Pelodiscus sinensis: one gene and its partners. The protein of the gene in region 2 binds, or shares a complex with, the protein of the main gene of each other region. Links are inferred from orthologs where the notes say so. Each region holds a gene or a part of one and is shown on either strand. Other genes may lie near its edges.

Region 1 (7,406 bases), on a different chromosome or scaffold from region 2:
CACAGGTTATGCTGCAGAGTTCTGGGCAGGCTGTGGCCAGCACTAGGGATCAGGCCCCCCTGTACTCACCATGAGTGTAGGAGCTATGGGAAAGTAGAGCAACACAGCAGCCTGCTCTGCTCTACTGCCATTTCCTAAGCCCGGTGTGGGGCTAGAACATTCCACTTCCTGCTGCCATGGTGAAGCAAAGCAACCAGGCTAGACTGGTATATTGTGGCAGAAGCTGCTACATTACTCCACTTCTCTGCAGCTCCTACCACTATGGTGAGGGCCAGGGAAGAGGTTGTCCCCAGTAATCACTTAGGCTATGTCCCTGTGGGGAACAGGTGGGGTAGAGCAGCGACTGGACTTGGGAGAAGAGTACAGGAACCCCCCAGAGTCACAGGGATTCACACGCCAGCAGCCACGTGCAGGCCAGATTGTGCAACTGCTCAGGTCGCAAATGGCTCACGAGCTATGTGTTTGAGACTCCAGACCTACATAACCTCTTGACTGTCAGCCCTGATCTGGAAATCAGATATAGGAGCCCTGCTACCCTGCTGTCAGTCCCATCCTGAGTTCACCACTGGATCCTTGCCCTCCCAGCTCCCGCTGTCAGCCCCTGAGATGAAGGAATAAGGGACCTCCTCTTTCACTCCCCACAATGTTTCACTTTTATCCATACAAGCACTCTTCACGACAACATGCACCACGAGCAGTGGGGGGGCCAATGTGAACATGAAAAACAGCAATAATTATTGTGGTAGCCATATGTTAACCTGAAGTAGATCAATTTAATTCTGTGGAAAAGGAAGACTTGAGTTTGACTTATCCCTGAGTATCTGCATAGTGGGGTGGGAGGAGGGACATAAGAGGATACTATTTCTTGTCTACTGTTCAGAAAAAAAAAGGGGGGTCTGATCCTGCTCATACTCACTGCAACAGGATCAGCATTTGTCTCTATGTGAAATCTCTTACATGTGCCTATTAGAGTATTAACTTTATGTATTGATGTAAACATACCTACAAGCCTTAGTGAAGAAAAGCAGTAAACCTGAAGCGCAAAAGCAGGATTCCAGGGTATGTTTGTACTGGCTCATACACCTGTGATTCAGCCCAGGATCAAAGCTAACTCCTTAGGATCTACACTGCAGTTGTGCAATCCCAGTGCTTTGACACAGAAGCTGGAGTCAACCTGGGACCCAGCTTCTGAGCCCTACTGCTTTGCAGTGCAAATGCGCTCAAATTTGACTGAAGTCCTGAGAGCCATCTGGAAATACACCATAATTCCACTGAACAAGATTCCTTAGTCTTCCTTATCCCAATAATCTTTAATCCACCATTGAAAACGGAAGACTTTCACCTCCCACATACAGTTGGCAAAAGGCAGCAGCTCAAGTCAGCACTGAACCATTCTTTCTGACCACTGACCTGCAAGCACAAGTTCAGAGACCTCCGGAATTTGCAACAGAAAGCAATCTAATCACACCTTCTGCAAAATAAGCTTTTTCCTGGTAACAGAGCTGGCAGTAAAGTTTCCTACACTACCCAAGTCTAAGAATGAAAGCTTCCACCTTTTAGGGAACAGGCTACATGGTAGGTACTTTGGAAGCTTTAAATCAGATCTGTGTACTACAATGTGGATGCCAGAACCCTAGAATTTGAACCCAGATTAGAAAAAGCTTGTGGTAGGTGTTAAATATAATTCAGACACTCAATGCCAGGGTTCCTGAACATTAGTCAGCAAGCTCAAGTCCCACTAACCTTGGTCTAACGTTGCCTTGTCTCCTACCCCTGATGCAACAACCCAAATATCTCTATGCCCCATTAAACAGATCTCTATCCTGATTCCCTTGAAACCGAGTCAGCTGACACAGGTCATCCCCCTGGGTGTGTGGGTGCAGCGAGGAGACATACCCTGCATATCCATAGCCAGAGCCCCGCAAGGAAGAAAGGCGGCCCTTTCTCACCATCCTGACAGCTCCCTGAGCAGCACCACAGAGTCACTTTCAACTCTGGCTCCCTCTAAAGCCGCTTGCGAGGAATCACCGTCCCCGCGGCGGGGTCAGGCCCGCATCCAGACTCACCTTGAGCAGGATGGAGGGCGGTAGCTGGTTGATGTCGGAGGGAGGCGATAGCGGCGGCTCTCGGCAGCACTCGCTGTGGTTCTCGGGCGGCTCCTGTCGCTCCGGCTCGTTGCTTTCCTCCTCCTCCTCCTCGTACGGCGGGGGCAGCTCAGGAGCCGGAGCCAGCTCCCCCACGCCGCTGCTCTCCCCGGCCGGGCCCCTGAGCGGCGGCCCCCCAGCGCTGGCAGCGCGGTCGGTGGCACAGGGCAGGGGGCAGAGCTGCTGCTGCTCGCTCGGACACTGGCAGGCGGCGGCCTCCGGTTCCGGCGGGGCGGCGGCGCAGCGGGGCTGTTTGCAGGGAGGGCAGGCGGGCAGGCCGGCCCCTTTGCGCTTACACACCATGTCGGGGGCCGGCTCGCCGGGCGGCCGCGCTGAGCCCAGGAAGGCCCGCACGGGCGGGGGCAGCAGGCCCGACAGGAGCAGGCGCTGACACGGGCCCCGCTGCTCCCAGGCGCCGGGCGGGAGGTGCAGGAGGCGGCGGGCGGCGCGCTGCTCCGGGGAGCTGAGGGCCGCGCAGCGAGGCGAGTCCCGGCCGGGCAGGGGCTGCTCCGGGGCGGGCGTGCTGGCGCCGTGCACGATGAAGCAGAGCATGCAGGGCCCGCGCAGAAAGCAGCTCCGGCTGCGCTGCGGCACCTTTCTCCGGCGGCGGCGGCGGCGGCTCCTCTCCCCGCTCAGGCTGGTTCCCTCCCTCGAGAGCAGGTGGCCCATATAGGAGGCTCCGGAGCGGGGATTTGCGGGGGCCCGGCCGCCGTCCCCGGGCAGGTCCCTTCGCGGTGTCAGCTGCGGCGGGGGGCAGGGGCGGCGGGTGTCATGGGCCCGGTCGCTAGGCGGGGAGCGGGAGGTGGCGCCGGTTCTTCCGGGATATTGAACGGGGAGAAGCTTCCGCTACCGCCGCCCTGACCTTACCCAGAAGCCGCTCGCGGCCCGCCAAGAGGGGCCGCTCCGGCACTGGCGCTCTGCGGTGCTGCCGCCTACGGCCGGGCTGTGCTAGGGCCGCCAAGCCGCAACTCCGGCGGCCGCCCTCCCCGAGCCCAGCCACTCTGCTCCTACAGTACTTGCACTCTCCCCCTTCCTCCCCCCCCCCCCCCCCCCACACTCTGGGACAGCCCCACAGTCCTCTCACACACACACACAGCTCACAACAGCCCCCACTCCTTCCTCCTCACACAAACACAAGTGCCCTGCTTCTGCTCCCTCAGGCCACACAAAGGAACTTCTTTTAACACAAGCATATTGCTCCGTACTGCACCAAGGCTATGTCTAGACTGCAGGCTTCTTTCGAAAGAGGCTCTTTCGAAAGCATCTTTCGAAAGAGCCTCTTTCGAAAGATCGCGTCTAGACTGCAGGCGGATCTTTCGAAAGAGAAATCCGCTTTTTCAAAAGAGAGCACCCAGCGAGTCTGGATGCTCTCTTTCGAAGATGGCCTCTTTACATTGAAGAACGCCTTCTTTCAAAAGAGAAACTTTCGAAAGAAGGCGTTCTTCCTCGTAAATTGAGGTTTACCGCCATCGAAAGAAAAGCCGCATTCTTTCGAAATAATTTCGAAAGAACGCGGCTTGAGTCTGGACGCAGGGGAAGTTCTTTCGAAAAAAGGCTACTTTTTTCGAAAGAACCCCTGAGTCTGGACACGGCCCAAGAGACTACACACACTGCCATGGGTAGTGTTCGCTCACAACAGTCTGTGTCCCCCCCCCACAAATTGCCCCAAACATCCCCCAAGAGCTGCTTTCCAATATGGTAATCACCTCCAAGAACGGCTTCCCCAAGAATTTCAATCAGATTCAACATTTCAGGGATTACTATCCCTCCCTAACACCTAACAAAAGAACTGGCTTTTAAAATAGGCTCCCCAAAGTAACTAAATTACTGAGGAAAAACTACATTTCACAACACCGGACCAAATTCTCACACACAACTTGCACCACCACCCTGTTTTTCCTGTATACTGTACTGGACAATATGGCCCAGGACCTGGGTTGCTGGGCTGTTCTTCCCCTTGATTTCAGTCTAACCACAATCATGAGAATGTTCTGATTTTAAAAATACAGTGGAGTTGAGATACACACGAATAGCGTATTTTTTGGAATTTGGATAATGTTTTAACAATAGTTTATTGTAACATTTTTATCAGAAAGAATTGTGTAAAACCATTGAAAACAGACAACTATATGAGATCAATATTCTGGAAAAGATAGGGAGGATGTTAGATACCATGTAATTGAATAATTGTGTAACCACATCAATTTTTAGTCACTACATGACTGTTGGATTGGCTGCTGGCCCTGGCCCTGGCCCTGGCCCTGCCCCGAGGACTGTGTGCTCCAGACCCCACTCACAGGGAGCCCCCTGCCATCAGCAGGGGGCTGTAGGCAAGCCCAGGGCCCACTGCAGTCAGAGGCTGTTCCATAGCAGCCTCCCTTGCTTGCCCTCCTGCACCACTGCATCTGACAGAGGTAGCAGTGTGGGGGGAAAGGGAAGCAGACTCAATGCTCGTGGGAAGCCAGCTTTTTTAAGCCTGCTCCCCTTGAACACTGACTCCTGCCTTCCTCCCCCCACCTCATTGGGAGGCAGTAAGGTGGGGGGCAGGCAGCTCCATGGAGATGACATGTACGGAGAGCTGGCTTAAAAGTCAGCTCTCCATGGCTATGTCTACATTGGCAGGTTCTTGCACAAGAACTCTTGCACAAGAACACGTTCACACTGCCATGTGCTTTTGCGCAAGAACATCCATGGCAGTGTGGACGCTCTCTTGCACAAGAAAGCTCTGATGGCCAGTTTAGCCATAGGGCTTTCTTGCACAAGAAGCCCCGGCCGCGCATCCACACTGTCCTCTTGTGCAAGAGGGCTTACACTTGTTAGAAAAGAACATAGCTCTTGCACGGGAAGCCCTTTCTTCCAACACTGTACTGTAAATCTTCTTGTGCAAGAGCAGGCGGGCAGTGTGGACACTCTGTGGGTTCTTGCGCAAGAATGGCTGTTCTTGCGCAAGAACTCGCCAGTGTAGACATAGCCCATGTGTATCTGCTTCTACCATCCTCACTCCCTACCGCACCGGTCCCTCTGATATGGAGGCAGCAGCATAGGGGGACAGACAGCTCTGTGGGATCCAGTGTCACCACACCGTCCCACTGGCACCAGGTGCTGCCTTCCCCACCTTTGCTACCTCTGTGTGTGTAGTCAACGGAATTAACCAATAAGCCCAGCCTTATCTGTTAATCATGTGATCCTCTACACATTGACATCCCCCCCCAAAAAATCTTATTTAATAGATGAAAATGTTAACTGAAAAAATATCCCTTAATTGTGTTAAAAGTTTTAAAGACAAGCATACATTATGTTTATGTATAGGCCCACTTCCGCAGACAAGCAAGTAACTTGATTTATGTGAGTTGTTCCTATTGATTTAAGTGGAGTTAACAAGATGAATGAAGTTACACATGTAACATATATTTCAAAATCACACTTAGGATGACTACACAGCATCTTTTTTGTGCAAAAACTTCTTGCGCAAAAGGGATCCGAGGAGGAAATGCAAATGAGAATGTGACATATACAAATGAGGGCTCCATTTGCATTTCCTCTTGCAGAAGAGGCTGGTAGTGTAGATGTAGCCCCCGGTGTTTGGCTTCCCCCAAACTCTATGTCCCCTCTTTAGATTTTTTCCCCCAAACTCTAAATGTTCCAGCTGACTTCTTTTGGGTTTAATGCTTTTAACAGTTTGGTCTACAAGAAACAGATTGTATAATTGGTCTCTCTTTAGGTCCCTGCAAAGACACAAGTGGTTACATTTAAGTCTTAAAATTTATCCACAGGGCTCAGTGTTAATGGCAGTTTTGAGCTGAGCTTGTGTCTAAGCATTTGCTAGATTACTGCCTTAATAACTTTAATAAAATACCCCAAAGTGCCTTAGTTTTTAAACAATATGGGGCAAAAATTTGCTCTTTGTTACAGTGTATAAATTGGATTGCTCTTCATTTACATCATGTTCAAATAAGAGGAGAATTTTGCCCTTCACTAAGAGGGAAAAAACAGATTTTAATTAAAAATATATGATCCTATTGAGAATACCTATTATCAATAACAACTTTTTATGTTGGGATTACATGATCAATGACACATTATATTTTTGTTTTCTACATATATTTCCAATGCTGTCTTTAACAGCACAAGATAAGGTATGTTGCATCTTAAAGAAAAACATCCATATGAGAGAATTTAATCTGAATCTGTAAAACATTACAATTCATTTAAAAATTCAAATAGAAATTAATGTCAGATTTGGCATAGTTTTTCCCTTGATGTTCCAGATGTCCACTTATCATGGGTGTGACCAAGTTTCTCCACGGTCCTGTAAAGTTTGTTTACAGCCACTGCTCCAGGATTTTAGTGTTCTGTGCCGTTATTTAGATCTCATTTATCCCTAAATGTGTTCTAAGCAGTGGAAGTGTTAGTAATGTTGTTAGACATTATTGAGCTCCCATAGTTCAGCAAATTTTCTGGTTCAGCATCAGTCAGGTCTGGAGGGTGCCAGATTAGAGAGGTTCAACCCATAGTAACCTTTGCTTAAAGTCAAACACAGTGATTAGTTGCACCTACTAAGAATCAAGAGGTGGATGGGCACAAGCCTGCCCATGCATAAAGGTGATGAGCGATTAGTTGCAGCTCATGGTAGGAATGCTCTAAAAGCATGAAGTTCCTCTATCTTCTTTCTTCTCTTCTTATCTGGTATTTTTCCCAACACTTCTCATAATTTTTGTAACCCGTTTCTGGATATTGTTTTTTTCTGCTGTATCCTTTTCAACATAGAATGACTAGTCCTGAACACCAAACAGTGTTCAAGAAGTGAAACTCTTTTTCCTTTCTGGATATAGTTTATTTAGATCGTAGCACTTTGTGTGAGTAATTTAAGTACCTTCCAATTTGTTACATTACATTTGTTAACAGTAACTTTAATTTGGCATCCTGCTGTAAATTGCCTATCTTTGTCTGGCATTCCTTGTAACCACATTGTTCATCCAATTTTTCTGATCATTAACTTGGGTTTGGGACCGCCTCGTTGAAACTTTTTCTTTAATGAAAATGTATAGAATTTATATATACTGTTAGTTTAGCATCTCTTAGCTAGTGTAATAGGATTGTAGGATGCACCTTACAAATAGAAATAGGTCTTTTCCATTGTCCTATCCTGATAGCAACAACAAGAACCATGGATAAATAAACCTTCTGAATCAGTTCTGCTAATTCATGATGATTGTTCACTCCATTAAGATATCTGAAGCGGGGTTTTACTCTGGTCAGAAG
Region 2 (7,372 bases):
CTGGGACCTGTTAACTCAGATGAAAATTAATAACACTCTCGTGTTACATAATGCAAGTTAAGAACAAGCCTTATTCTAGAAAAAATGAGGCTTTGGCCTTGCTCCAGCGATTGGTCATGTAAAACAATATTACAGTTATAGCCACACAGGCAGTGCACTCATTTATGTGGCACTAGTTTTTCTGGAGGTACATCGCATGGCTTTATTGTTTCAGTAAACAGGGCACTATGAATTCTTCCTCGTTGGTAATATCTGGGAGCAGGGTAGTAAATAAGGAAGGTACTGGAGGACTATCAGCACTAACACATTCAATAGAGTGGATGAAAACTAATAGCTGACAAGTTTTGGCTGTGCACTCCCCAGGAAAAGGGGTATGCTAACTCATATTCAGCCAACAAGTTGTCACCATTGAAGTTTTAAATGCAGCACCAATGGGCTCTAGATAAAACCACTGCCACAAAGGGAGTAGCTAACAGTACTGTGAGTGTGTTTACACTGCACTTGACAGCACTGTAACTTGCTAGCTGGCGGGAAGAGAGAGGAGAGAAGAATGTTTTTTACACCCCTGAGCAAGAAAGTTACAGAGCAATAAAGCAACTTTGTAAATAAACCCTGGGCTACCCTCCCCTCTAGGGCCAATCAACTCAAGTTAAAAGCATCACTGCACCTGAGTGAAGGGAATCATGTGTGGTCAATACCTGCAAGTAACTAGGCAGCAAATAAAGAACCAAAAAAAGAGATTCTTTCCATAATCAGGGTGCATTTACACAGTAGGGCTAAAGTCAAATTAAGCTATGTAACTTCAGCTATGTTAACTGCATAGCTTAAGTCAAAACAGCTTAATTCAGCTTTTGGTGCTGTCTACACTGTAGGAAGTCAAAAGAATAAACACTCTTCCTTTGACCTCCCTTACTCCTCATGAAATGACGGTTACCATGAATTGGAGTAAGAAGTCCTCCAGCTTAACAGTATTTCGAAATAGAGGCTTGTAATGTAGATGTGCACTATGTTATTTCAGAATAATGTCAGTCATTCTGAAATAACACTGCTGTGTAGACGTATCCTCACAACAGCTACAGAATTTAACAAAAAATAATCTGAAAAAAGAACTAAGAGGTCTGGCCATACCAAACACTTGGAAAAGTTGGTGCAGGGTGCTCAGATGTGTGTAGGGGATTCATATGTGCATACATTTTCTGAACATATTTAACATGAAAGAAGAATTATGCCTACTTGATCTATTTTTCTCCAGATTATAATTTCACTAATTTTGAAAAAAGAGCACTCGAGACTTGCTCCTATAAATCATGTATGAAAAACTGCATTCACACTACACACAATGGTGATGGTCATATTAGGGTAATAAAATGTGAAAGCAGGATCTCCCCCCCCCCCCCCCCCCCCGGGTGATTCCAACAACAGCAAATGAGAAGGGCAATAACAACACATGCTGACATCAACAGCCATAAACAATTTCAGATGATTTTAGCATAAAAAAAGTTAACAGTGCCTAAAAATTCCCATTATGAAACACTTGAAATTGTTTAGCATCAAACCATTCATAAATTAGGCCCTCAATCTTGCAGATACTCATGCACATGAGTAGTCTCAATTAATTCAGTACAATTACTTACAGATTGACAAACCCACAAAAGCATGAAAATATATGTCCACATTCTCTCAGCACACTTAGTTCAAACTCATATTTATTTTCAGCTATGTCATGTGATTCTGAGTTTAAAGAACAGACAACTACAGTACTTCAGCCTTCAGGGGAGCAGAATTGGTTGCAGAGTATATGTATGACGGAAAGAAACCCATAGTGCTAAGTTGCAACACTCAGGTCAATGACTTGGGCTCTGTGGCTCACCTTGCAGGGCTAAAAACAACACTGTAGATGTTCCTGCTGGGGCCCTGAGGACTGTACCATTCCCTGGATTTTCATAGACATACTCTTTAACTGTGGAGCCATAGTTTTTAGGCATGCTCCCTTGGGTTGTAGCTATGTATAACAATACTGCCATGCTTTCTCTTTTCACCCAGAGATCTACACGGTGTGTCAAACTATTTTGTCTTTTATCCTGTAATGTTTTGGAACTGTATAACTGCTCACAACTGATTAAAAATAATTAGCACTTAGCAAGATGCAGGTCTGTATGAATTTGAAATTACTGCAGTATTATGGTGTTAAAAATGCCAATTCAGGTCCTCTCACTGCTAGTTTAACTATTAAATTGGTGACAACCTCTCCGTAATTGTCATTTTCAATTTGATTTTCCAATGCCCGTCACATGCGAGGCTTCTCACAGTACAGACTAAAAGCACATCTTCCCGGAAAAGTCTAAATTGAAATCGGCTGGACTTCTACAATTGATGAGAGACGCCGTAATGCTCACAATTAGGAGATTCATCCAAACCAAACCATTAAAACCAAATTAGTAAGACTGAGGGGCTCCTTTGTCTGAAAGGAGGAGGGCGATTTTCCGGGGCGGGGGAGGCGTGGGGTGAGCCCTAAGCACACTGGCCGGCGGACACGCAGCAGGGAAACGATGAATAGTGAAGTGCCCGGTTCCGGAGAGCGCCGGACTTCATGGAAAAACCTGCCAACGCAAAGCCACGCGGGCGCGGAGGCGGCAGCTGCTACGTACCTGTCCCAACGCGGGTCCGAGGGCAGCCCTGCTCCTTTCGCCCGGCTCACCAGGAACGGCGCGGGGGCAGCCAGGGCAGAGCCAGCGCTCAGGGCCCGTGGCGCCCGGACAGCTGCCCACCTCGGCCCAGGTGCCGGGGGAAGGGAGCAGACACGGCCCCGCTCGCCGAGCTCCCCTCCAGCGGCGGCGCGGGTCCCACAGCCCCAGGCGGGTTCTGACCCCGAACCGGCCACAGAAGAGCCCCGCGGCGCCAACAGCTGCGCTCCCCGCTTCACCTTCCGCCAGCGGGACAGGCGCGTCCTCCCCAGGCCCAGGCAGGGCTCAGCTGCCCCGAACTGCGGCGACGGGAAGGAATCAGCTGACCCGTAACAACAGTCCTCCTCCCCCTGCCCCGACCCCTCACTTCCTGCCCGCTGATTGGACGCTGCCGGCCCGGTCGACGCTCTGACGCCAACGTTGACTACAGCGCGCGTGCGCGTCAGGCTCAGCGCCGTCGCTTTCTTTCCGCCGCGGAGCTGTTAGCGTGGCCCCCGGGGGGCGCGAGCGTGGCCGTTGGGCTTTGGAACGTTCTGCTCCTCGCTCCGGGGCATGGTGGCGCGCGCTGTGTGAATCCGGGGTTTAGCACCGCACGCTAAAGCCAAGGCCCCATGCAAGGCCTCATGGCCGCCTGTGCACAGCCCCTGCTCACCCGCATGTAGACTCCCAACCATCCGCAGGGGCTTGTTACCTGGCTAGGGTTTCCCAGGCTTGCCCCTTTTCTCACGTGAGGTAGCTGTGTTGGGAAGCCTGTGAAGATGCTCATTGCACAATGTTAGCTGGTCAGTGTTGTGGGCTGGATTCCCGAGCTTTAGAGGAAGCAGAGCGACTCCAGCCCCAAGCACTCGAGCTAAGGAAGGCAACGATGCCATTGCAAGGAAACTTTTGAAATTTGGTTTTCTGCCACAGTGGAACAAATAACTCCAAACCTTGCAGCAGTTTTGAGGAAATAAAAATGTGTTGAAATTACAGAAACATAGGGCTGGACAGGACCATGAGTGCTCATCAACTTCAGCACCCTGTATCAAAACAGGACCGAATAAACTTAGACTGTTCCTGACAGGTGTTTGTCTAACCTGTTCTTAAAACTCTCCAGTGATGAGACTTCCACAACCTCTTTTGGAAGCCTCTTTCGGAGCTTACCACCCTTATGATTTGAATTTTTTTTCTGCTGTCTAGCCTAAATCTCTCTTGCAGATTAAGCCTGCCTTTAGTGAACAGGGAGAACAGTTGATCAATGTCCTCTTTATAATTGCTCTTGCTGTATTTGAAAATTATTATGAGGTCCTTCCTCAGTCTTCTTCTAGAATACATGCCAAGTTCTTTTAATCCTTCCTCGTAGGTTAGGTTTTTCTAAACCTCATTTTTGTTGGACTCCTACGAACTCTCCAATTTGTCTACATTTTTCATTGTGTGGCACCCAGAATTAATCACAGAACTCCAACTGAGGCCTCACCAGTGTCAAGTAGAGTGGGTGTGATGGGGCATTTGCCCCCACACTGGCCCTTTAAGGGTTAAAACCCAGCCTGGGAGAGGGCTGGAGCAGTGGATCTGTGGAGCCAGCAGCTTTTGGCAGGAATTAGCCAATTAGGGCCCATCTCAAGGAAGTATAAATAAATAAAGGCTCCTGGAGGGAAAGGAGAGGTTTGGATTCACTCTTGCTCCAGCTGTAGAGCAGAAGGGACCTAGCTACCAGGGAAGCTAGAGGCTTCCTAACTTAGAGCAGTGCTGGGGAAGCTCTCCTAGGCAAGTACTACCTCTGCAGGGGGGCAGCCAGGGTAGGCAAAGGTAGTAGGTCCACACTCTCTTGCCTATGATGAGTGGTCATTTCAGACTGCAGTCTATCCCTCTGGCAGGGGCTAGATGGAGATTGGCAGTGAGTCTCTGAGGCAAGGGGGGGGACATAGGGAGTTAAGGGTTCCTAGAAAGGGAAGACCACAGAGTGTGGAGGCACTGCAGCAGGAGAGTACCAAGGGGAAAGGGTACCATAGTCTTGGAAGAGTGTGAGTCCTAACAGAGTGGCAGAGCTCATAGGAAGAATGACACCTGCTGAAAGGAAGTGCTCCAGAGCTAAAAACCTAATTCCCAGAGTGTCCAACAGGAGGCACTGTGCTGGTGAATCACACTGTTACAATTGGACAGTAACATTCCTTGGCTTAAATACACAACACTTCCGTTAATACATCCCAGAATGCTTTTTTTCACAACTGCAACATACTGTGGGCTCAATTTGTGTTCCACTATTATTCCTATATTCCGTTCAGCATCTCTACTAGTTATTCTGTATCTTGCAGTTGAGCATTTTTTTTCCATCATGAGTGAAATAATTTGCACTTGTCTTTATTGAATTTAATCTGTTTAGACTGACTTTCCATTTTATCAAGATTACTTTGAATTCCAATCCTATCTTCCAAAGTATGTGCAATCTCTCCTAGTTTGGTGTCATCATCAACTTTTAAAAGTGGGTTTCCTATTAATGTTATCTGAGTCATTCATAATAATACCAAATAGGGATGTAAGCGAGTAGCTGAGTACCTGACTACTCCCTCTCTCCCTCCTCCTTCTCCTCTCCCCCTTCCCCCACTGCTGCTTCTTTATGAGAGGCAGCAAGGGGGAGAATAGGAGCTGGTGCTGGGGGGAAGTCCGCTTAAAAGCTGGTTTCCCTTCAGCACTGTCTCTGTAGTGCTGCTTTCCCCGCCTCTATCAGCCTATCTCTATCTGCTTGCAGCAAGCTGAGACTGTTTCAGGGCAGGCCCTGTCCACAGGGGTCTGGGCTGGCCATGGGCAGAGGCCGTTCCAGCAGCAGCCCCTGCCTGCGGCCAACTCAGGCTGCCACGAAGAGGGGCTGCTAGACTTGGTGCAAGCTGGGACTGAGCATTTCTGGAGCAGGTGTGAGCTGGGAACTATCCCCACTGTGGCTCTGCAGAGTGGCTCCCTTTATCAACTAATCGTGTGATTGTCTTTCAACTAGTGCACCCCTTTTATAATAATTAAATTTACATTGTGTTTCCCTAGTTTGCTTATAAAACGTTATATGGGACTGTGCCACATGTCTTAGTGAAAGCGCTTTCTGCGGGGTGTAACTTATAATGCTGTTATCATTTGGTTGCTTTCAAATTGTTTAATTTTAATTGCTCCTATATCGTCCCAGATATTGAAGTGAGGTGAGTGCTCCCAGGATCTTCTTGTTCCCCTTTTTAATGATTGGTATAAGTTTATCCTTCTGCTGGTCTCTGGAACCTCACCTGTCCTCCAAGAATTCTCCAAGATAATTAATGGTTCAGCTAGTTCCTTAACTACTCTAGGATGAATTTCAGTACCATATTAACTTCAGTACATCTAGCTTACGTACATATTCTTTAACCTGTTCTTTCCTTATTTTGGCTTCCTTTCCCCTCCCCCTTTGTTCATATTAATTGTGTTAAATATCTGATCATCATTAATCTTCTTAGTGAAAACTTCAGCCTTTATGTCCACAGTTATTAGCGCTCCTTCCCTGAAAAGTAAAAGACATATTTTTCTCTCACTCTCTCTTGCTTCTAATATAATTAAAGAACTTATGTTTCTTGGTAGGTGTAATTCATTTTGTTCTGTAAATTTTGTAACTCTATGTGCTTGTGCTATTCTTTTGCACCCCTGCTTAGCAATTTGTCCATGTTCCCGCATTTTGTAGAATTTTTTTTTTATTTTAAAGGGCTCCTAATAGTTATATTGACCTCTTCCTATTCCTATGTTTCTTTAAATTGGGATAATTTGTAGTTGTGTCTTTACTGTTGTCTCCTTGAGAAACTGTCCGGTCTCCTGAACTTGCTTTATCTGTTAGATTTTCTTTCCAACGTACTTTACATAACAGTTCTCTGAATTTGTAAAAGTGTACTAAGTCAATTGCCCTTATTCCTCTGCTCTGACTTCCACCTTTCCTTATACTCAAGAAAACTATTATTTCATGATGATTTTCACCCAGATTGTCTACCACCTTAAAACTTACAGTCAATTCTTCTCTACTCAGCACAAACTCTTAAATGGCTGTCCCCCTGGTTACTGTCTCTACTTTCTAAAACAGAGTGGTCCACAGTACGGTCCAAGAACTTATTGAACAATTTGGTTTCTGGCATGCTGTTCAGACAGATGTCTGGGTCATTAAAGTTCCTCATTACTTCAAGTCTGTTTTCAGATTAAAAGCTTTTACCCTTGTTCACCACCTAAAATGATGGCCATGGTATCTTGCTTCTTGAACCTGAGTGAAAAATTAAAAATGACATTTATTAAATGTACAATGGCACGTATGTAATGAAGCATATAACCTCAGGTCTCCATTGTTAAGAATTAGAACCAAGACTCATTAATTTTGTTATACTTTGAATTAGGGATGTTAAATTGTGGGTAGTCAGCTAATCGAGTAGTCAATGGAATTTCCATTTACTACTCAATTAGTCGATAAGGGGGGAAACTCCGCTATGGCTCTGCCTTTTAGATGTATTAAGAACTGCCAGGCTCTTAACGCATTTAAAAGGCAGATGCTCAGCAGGGGGGACCAGGAGTAAGCCGGGAATCAACTGATTCCTGCTTTGCACCCAGTCTCCCACTATGCCTCTGCCTCCCCTGCCCCATCGAGATGGCTTTTAAGCCAGTTCCCCCCCATCACTGGCTCCTGATCCCCTCCCCTCATCCCCCACACACTTGCTGTG
Region 3 (7,417 bases), on a different chromosome or scaffold from region 2:
AAAATACAAAAAAGACATCACCTGATTCAGATTTGTAGAAATAATGTTGAAATAATGTAGAAATAATCATGATAGTACTTTTTGTTATTGAAAGACTAACAGGAACTATTATTTCATTATTTTGGAAATGAATCTGGGTCTGTGTAATTACTATATTTCATTGCCTTATCTAAATCAATTCTATTTTGGTTGTAGTATTAGTGATTAGATCTTTGTACTGCCAGGGATTGATATAAGGGTGTGTACCATGGATTAAGCACTTTTTTTTTGCCCAGAAGCATGTGGGTTTTTTAAGTTACAGCTATCAGATTTGTGCTCTTCTTTTCTCTATCAGACACACATGAGGCCTTGTGCATTTGCTTCTAGATCCAGTTTTTAGCTTGAAAGAACAGATGAAGGAATTTGGCACTACTCCTGATAAGTACTCTTTGTTTCAAATAGTTTTCTAGGGAGCATAGTGGATGACTTGCCAGCCTTTCTGCTTACTTGGTTGTACATATATTCATATGCAATCTTGGTAGCCAGTTGCTCGGACAGCAACCTTAAGAGAGAGGCAGAACACTTTAAGCATTAAAAGTTCCTTAAAAGCTGAGGCTAAAATCTTTGAATACATTATTAAATTCTTTAATATTCTAATGGGCTAGCAGGTTGACAGATGCACATTTGGCATGCTTTGTTTTGAATTTCATTTTTCATTGCAGAATTATTTGGCAATGTACAGTAATTTGTAAACTTGCATCAAGTTTATGAATAAAGAACCATTTTAAGAATTATTCTGTTTGTGGTTAGTCTTCAAATATAGACAGCTTTCTGTTCATAAACATACATGTGTGTGTTCCCAACCAATGCAATTTATAAAAAGGAAAAACTGGTCAACAGGTTAAAAACACTTTGAATTTCAGGCTCATGAGCACAGGTGTAAAATAATCCTGTGAAAAGCTCCATTAAGTATATAGACTAGGGCATTCTGCACTAGATAATGTTCCTAAATTGTCTTTAGGTTAAGGATGTTAAGTAACTACTCGACTAATTCATATGCAGGGGTTCTTGTGTATTTCAAAGTGACAATGCAGCATGGAGTCCGGGGTCAGTAGGGGACTCAAGTCCCCCGCTGACCCCAGGCTCCATGCTGTGGTGCCAATTGGAAATGCCACGTGGAGCTGGGGTCAGCTGGGGACTGGGTATTTGCTTATTGGATAGTCAACTAGTCCTTAACATTCCTACTTTAGGTATGGGCCCATAAAATGCATTATAGTCTATAGACTGAGGAACCTATGACCCAGCTTGCCAGGATCCAGCCCCGAGACTCAGGACTTCTTCCCCCCCAGCAGTGGGGAGCCTCTGCTGGCACTTCAGCCCCTGCTGCCCCCTGCCTGCCTGACTTTTCTATGAGTCAGCGGCCCCTGACCCAAAAGGGTTCCCCACCTTTGGTCTAAATATAAAAATCACATGGATCAATGGTAATAAGGCCCATAAGGAGTCGAGGGTGGGGGGAGAGATTGACTTGCCCAGCCACAGATGAGAAGTATTCCACTGCTGCTACTTTATCCTCTAACATCAAAGGGACTTTCAAACTGCATGTCTCATTAACCAACAAGACTACATCTACACTGCAAGGTTTTTGCGCAAAAACAGCTGTTTTTGCACAAAAACCCGTGGAGCAGCCACACCTCAAATGTGCTTTTGTGCAAGTAAATTAACCGTAAAACGGCAGAAGGGAGGGCTTTTTCCGGCATAGGTAAACCTCCTTTTACGAGGCATAACTCCTTTTTGCGCTACAGCTATTGTGCAAAAAGGCTAGTGTGGATGCTCCAGAGGGGTTTCTTGTGCCTGTGGGAAAAAGCATGGCCATAAACATGGCCTTTCTGTGAATGGCAATCAGAGCTTCCTTGCGCAAGAGCATTCATGCAGTGTGGACACTCTCTTGCGCAAAACCACATCACTTTTGCAATGTGCTTTGAGGTGAGGACGTGCTTTTGCATAAGAAATTTTTGTGCAAAAACTCTTGTGCAAAAGGCTTCTTGTGCAAGAAGCCTGCAGTGTAGATGTAGCCCAAGTGAGCAAATGGAAGGAAAGCAATCAGATTCAATCTTTCACCTCTTTCATTTCACTTTCCTCCCCATCCAGACACCTTAAACTTTCTTGGAATCAAGCCTCCCATTGCAGCCTTTATCTAATTCCTCTGATCTTGCTAGGAAAACCAGAAACCTACTCAGTCACAGACAGAGCTGAAAATCATTAGCACAGCAGCCAAATTACCTAATTTGGCAAGTGGAAGCAAACAGTACTGTGCTGCCTCACACTTCCCTTTGTCAAAGAATCCTTGTGTTGAGTTCACAATCTAAATCAGAAACAGGAAACAAAATAATTGTTTTGCAGTAAGATCATATTTGAGTTTGACCCCCATTCACCTTGAAAAAATGGAAAATCTTTCTAAACCTAAAAATTAAAAATGCAGTGAGTGCACCTCAACTCTACTTATAGTGGCAATGTTCTATGGGAATATAGGGCAAAAATGTGTTGAGCTGCATGGGCATGGGAAATGTCACTTTCAATACAGATGTTGATACTAAAGTAACTTTCAAGTTTTACTCTCTGTATAGAAATCTGCATTAAAGGAACATTAACATAGAAACTGCTGACCATTTCTGAAAGTTGTTTGCAATATTGTTGTAGTTGTACTGGATCCCAGGATTATGAGAAAAGGTGGGTGAGATCTTGGAACATCTTTTGTTGGTAGAAGAGATAGATACGCTTTTGCGCTAAACAACAGCTTCTTGGGTTTCTAAAATGACACTTAAAGCATTGATGGGTGCTACAGCTACCCATATCTGCTTCATCTGCTTTTTTTGTATGTGATATTAAAATTAGTTTATTTTTCACTTCTTTCCTAATGAGCAACTATGCAGTTAGCTTAATCATTACTTCTCTATAAAGTAAAATGTTGTGTGGGGATTGGGACCATTTTAATTTAAAATATGCTGCTGGATGTTTGTGTACCTTTTTTCTTATGCACATAATCAGAAGGCCCGATTAGTGTTGATAAGCTCTAATCCAGCTAGAGCCCGTGCCTTAAAAATCACTCACCTATATATGCAACTAAGGTGATCAGGCATCCTGTTTTGGACTGGGATAACTGGTCACTCCAGTCAGCAATGCACCATTGGATGGCAGGCTTCCTGCTAGCTGCTGCACCATGCTGTGTAGTTCCTGATTGTTCCCAGCCTATAGGGCTGCAGTCACGGTGTCTGGTGTCCTGCCTCTCAGTCCCTGAAGCAGGGCTGAGACAGAGGAAGCTCCAGACAACTAGCAAGAAGTTACGCAGCAGTCCTGACATGCAGCAGGCACCAGGAGAGCAGATGAGGCAAGGGCAGAATGGGAGATATGACAACAGAGGGGAAAAGGGAGAAGTTTATAACTTGGGTGCCACAGTGGCACACATCTGAACAAGTGCACATGACCTCAATATTGGTACACAAAACTCGCTCCTCATGAATGGAAAATCTTAGAGGGAACACTGCTTTGCACCCATGGGGACTCAGTCTTGGGGGAGGAGTCAAGCAATGGCTCGGTCCTTGAGGATGCCATGGACTGGACCCCTGCAGGACTGGATACCCCGGGGTCACCTACCCACCCACCCGGGCCATGCCCAGCCTCCCTACCCCTCCATTTCCCTGAACCCTCTCCCCCCCCCCCCCCCCGGCCTATTCCCAGGGGCACCATGCTCCCATCTCTCTGAATCCTCTCAGCTGCTCTGCCCCCAGCTTTAGCCCCAGGCACTTCCTACCCCTGGCTAGACACCCTGCCCCTGAACTGCTCATATATCCTCCCTACTAGCCAGACACCCTACCCTCAGGCTGCTTCTGCACCCCTCTCTTGGCCAAACACCCTACCTTCAGCCTGCTCTTGCACCCTCTCTTGCTCCTGCACCTTCCCCCTGTCAGTCTTCCTATTCCAGCCTGCTTTTGCACCCTATTTCCCACCCAAACCTTGCACCCCACCTCCCTCCCAGATTCTGAATCCCTTCCCTAGCCCATCCACGGGCTGCCCTGTCCCACACACTGAACACCTCATTTTCCCCCCACCCCAGAGCCCAAGGGGATCCATAAAATCCACTAACTCTGGAACCACAGGAAAGTAAATCTGGCCTCTGAGAAGCCCTGAACCTTGGTCTTCCCTTCCCCCGTGGGGCTTGAGTGCCAGAGGAGTGAGGTATCTCAGTTGGGGGGCCACAGCAGTGAGGGTTTGGGGAATAGCTTTTTTGCTTCTCACTTATGTAGTCCCCACCTGATTTCTCTGTGGGTCAGTGGTCCCTGACACAAAAAATGATTCCCCACAACTGCCATAAAGAAAACACTGAAACCTTTTGTGTTGGACATAAATTAATATTTTATTATTTAAAATGAAGTTTGATAAACATGAGAAAGTTAAATTAAATCAGTTTCCCTAGTTGCAGCACTAGCAAAATGTCTTGGGCAAAATTATGTAATTAACGGTGAGTTTCCATTAGCAACTGGTGGTCCACAGAAAGGTTTCCATTGAGCCAGGTGGTCCATAGGCCAAAGAATTTGAGAACCACTGGCCAAATGATTACACACAGCCCCTTCCATTCTTCCCTGCCCGCTATCTCAGAATCAAAGGTAGCAATGCGCCCAGGGGTGGGGAGAGGCAAGAGTTGGTGCTCATGGGCTGCCTACTTAAAAAAGCTGGCTCCCTATGCCTCCCTCTGTGTAAAGGTGTAGCCACTGTAAATTTCAATGGCTTATAAAATAATGAGTTTTTAGCATCGCTAGTAGAAGGGGGTGCAAGGTTTGGGAGGAAATGGTTGGGGGGGGATGCGCATGAAGAGGTTTCAGGTGGTGAGCAGCTGCAGGAGATGGAGCTCCAGGTGCAGGCTCTAAGGCATTTCCTTGGAGGCGGCTGGCAGCTCCACGTGGCGCTCTGCTCTGCACAGGGGAGACAGCAGCACTACCCCTGCTGCAGCCTCTTCGCTCCCATTGGCGGCCCCCCCTCGGAGAGTCGCCGGAAGCGGTCAGCCTGGAGCTGCTGCGCGGGGTCACGGCAGATCCCGTCCGGCCGTGTCTGCTGCTGCGCGTTCCGGCCCGGGCGGGGTCAGCCACCCCACAGCCGCCTCCACCCTGCTCCGCAGCAGGGAGCAGAACCCAACGCGCCGCGTGCCGCGCTAGCCACGCCCACTAGCGAGTCACTCCCCGCGTCATTCATCAGGTCACGTGGCCACTGCTCAGACGCTAGCCGCCGGATCCCGCGCGAGCAGATGACGTGCGTTAGAGGCGGACCGGAAGTGGGCGCCTTACGGATGACGTACTCGGAGTGCGCCGCCTGGGTCGCGAGGAAGGCCGTGGGCGCAGTTGCCATGGAGCTGGACGGCAAACGGGCCTACGTGCTGAGTAACCTGTGCGTGGTGGTGGAGCGGGTCCTGAGCTTCCTGCCCACCAAGGCGCTGCTGCGGGCAGCCTGGTGAGGAGCGGCCTTGGGTTTCCTCTTAGTCCGCATCGGGCCTGGCCTCGCGTCCCCGCTGCTTCCCCCTGGCGCCCGGTGCGCAGGTCGGAGCTGCAGGCCCGCCAGGCCTCGTTTCTGAGCAGGCGAGGAATGGGCTCGAGGCGTTTATCTGAGCGGGGAGCGGCTTGTGGGCGGGGCTTGTAACAACGCTTGTCGCGTGTTAACGTTGACGGATTATTTGTGCTCGTCCGATGACAAGTGTTTTCCCCACGAGCGCTCGGGATCCCGTGTCTCCATGTAGAGCAGGCCCTGCCGCGCCGCGGGACTGTGCGTGGCTTTTGGAATCACAGACCAGCCCGGCTACCCCCGAAGCGCTTTGGGTTCTTCCAGTAAATGCTCTTCTCTAGCAGCACAGCTGCTTTGGTTAGCAGAGCTGCAACACAAACCACGGAAGCAGGAGTTTTGTGGTTGCTTGACACATTTCTTTTAAAACTAACTATGTTACATGAGCCAAGGGCTTCTGAATGTTTCAAATCAACATTTTTCTTTTTTGAAGAAAAACATCACTGTGTTCTTTACATACATTGAGTTTTGTTGGCACTAAATTCTTATGAGTCAGAAGAATAGATTTTGTGACCAAATCTAATGATACAAGAAAAAATACTTTTTTGAGAATACAAGGAGTATGCGGTCCTTTCAATATTTTAAAAAAAGTTACATTATCTGGACTTTAACACCATTTTGTTTTACTGATTTATATATTTGAGCTGTAGAGAGGAGCTGAGAATGAATTATTCAATATGCCCTTTTGACCAGCATCACCATTATTTGCTTAATTTGTTCTGACTGGTACTGAATTAGGTAGTCAAAATTGACAGCATTTTTTTAAATCGGAAACAACTCTTAGGACAATACCCATACAAATAATGCAGTCAGTTTGTGCTTTAATAAAAATTAGTAGAAAACTAATCCACTGTTTATACCAGGGCTACTCAATTTGGAAGCCCCGGCAGCCACAATCATACAGCACATGCTGAGGGCTGCCACTCAAGTGTGGTTGCACGTACATGCAAATATATATGCAAATACATGCAAATAGCTTCTTTCACACTGATGGACAGGAATACAAAGATTTAGGCAAGACTGCACAATGTGCAGGCCCTATTTAAGTCAGTTGCGCTGATATTAATAAAATTCAATAGTTACCATCTTTCCACAGCACTTTTAATGAGCAATGGCAGTCCAGGAATTTAACAACTAAAATGCATATCAACAGAAGATCGTTATATTGGTTTGCCATTATGGAGCGTGTTCCCAGTGCAGGCCATGTTCAAAAGATCCCACCCGCGGGCCGCATGTTGAGCCCCGCGTAAACCCAAACTGTACTGCAGGCTGCAGCCCACCATGTGTTAAGTAGCCCTGGTTTACACTCTGTTTTAAACTTGAAATTTTTTTTTAAGGGTAAGATTTTCTCAAGAATGTGGGTAGACACTTAGAAGTCAACAAGAAAAAAATGGTTGACAGCTGCTAAGTTTTTGTTTTGTGTATTGTAGTAAAGCTTTGTATTTCAGTGTTTGCCGTTTGTGGAGAGAATGTGCCCGTAGATTACTGAGAACACAGCAGAGCATAGAGTGGGTCTCTGCACTTGAGCCTGGTCCATCTGATAGTCATTCACTGGTCCGTGCATTAGCTGAAGAACTTGAGGTAGGTAAAATACCATTGTTAATTATATACATTGCAATGGCCAATGTGAATTTCTAGCTACTGTGGTACAATGGGGATGTTAGATGGCAGGTAATAAAATAGTCAATTAACCACATGAATTCTTAGTGATTAGTTGACTATTCTGTGGTACCTGTGGGGCAGGGCTGGCAGTCAGTGCAATCCAGACCCACTCTCTGGGATCCCCTGCCATCCTGCATTGCTGGACTGGAAGGTTGAGTGGTGTGGCTGCTCT

Evidence for each region.
Region 1: the proteins of BACH1 (region 2) and FBXL17 are in contact, whole or in part, in a cryo-EM structure (PDB 8UAH), measured with the Homo sapiens proteins. The link is inferred for Pelodiscus sinensis from reciprocal best matches to the Homo sapiens genes BACH1 and FBXL17. Residues at the interface, in NP_001177.1 of Homo sapiens: Val20, Leu21, Ser23, Leu24, Gln27, Val32, Leu33, Asp35, Phe39, His48, Arg49, Ser50, Val51, Ala53, Ala54, Cys55, Ser56, Ser57, His60, Ser61, Arg62, Val64, Asn72, Thr74, Pro76, His116, Asn117; in NP_001156787.2 of Homo sapiens: Asp395, Arg421, Asn447, Gln473, Gln498, Glu499, Met524, Arg548, Cys574, Leu575, Tyr598, Val600, Ser601, Asp623, Trp626, Met651, Arg652, Val676, Gln678, Asp679, Cys680, Arg682, Thr683, Glu685, Gln689, Trp692.
Region 3: the proteins of BACH1 (region 2) and FBXO22 are in contact, whole or in part, in a cryo-EM structure (PDB 8S7D), measured with the Homo sapiens proteins. The link is inferred for Pelodiscus sinensis from reciprocal best matches to the Homo sapiens genes BACH1 and FBXO22. Residues at the interface, in NP_001177.1 of Homo sapiens: Ser7, Val8, Phe9, Ala10, Tyr11, Glu12, Ser13, Ser14, Val15; in NP_671717.1 of Homo sapiens: Asp366, Gly371, Asn372, Phe373, Ile374, Leu375, Arg376, Lys377, Cys378.

The regions. Positions count from the first base shown.
Region 1 is NC_134716.1:63,827,053-63,834,458, reverse strand, and holds the start of FBXL17 (F-box/LRR-repeat protein 17), read right to left. Parts: upstream 3,008-7,406; 5' UTR 2,814-3,007; coding exon 2,067-2,813; intron 1-2,066. UniProt on the Homo sapiens protein: Substrate-recognition component of the SCF(FBXL17) E3 ubiquitin ligase complex, a key component of a quality control pathway required to ensure functional dimerization of BTB domain-containing proteins (dimerization quality control, DQC).
Region 2 is NC_134711.1:181,342,364-181,349,735, reverse strand, and holds the start of BACH1 (transcription regulator protein BACH1), read right to left. Parts: upstream 3,040-7,372; 5' UTR 2,649-3,039; intron 1-2,648. UniProt on the Homo sapiens protein: Transcriptional regulator that acts as a repressor or activator, depending on the context. Binds to NF-E2 DNA binding sites. Plays important roles in coordinating transcription activation and repression by MAFK.
Region 3 is NC_134724.1:31,595,735-31,603,151, forward strand, and holds the start of FBXO22 (F-box only protein 22), read left to right. Parts: upstream 1-4,383; 5' UTR 4,384-4,876; coding exon 4,877-5,478; intron 5,479-7,031; coding exon 7,032-7,164; intron 7,165-7,417. UniProt on the Homo sapiens protein: Substrate-recognition component of the SCF (SKP1-CUL1-F-box protein)-type E3 ubiquitin ligase complex that is implicated in the control of various cellular processes such as cell cycle control, transcriptional regulation, DNA damage repair, and apoptosis.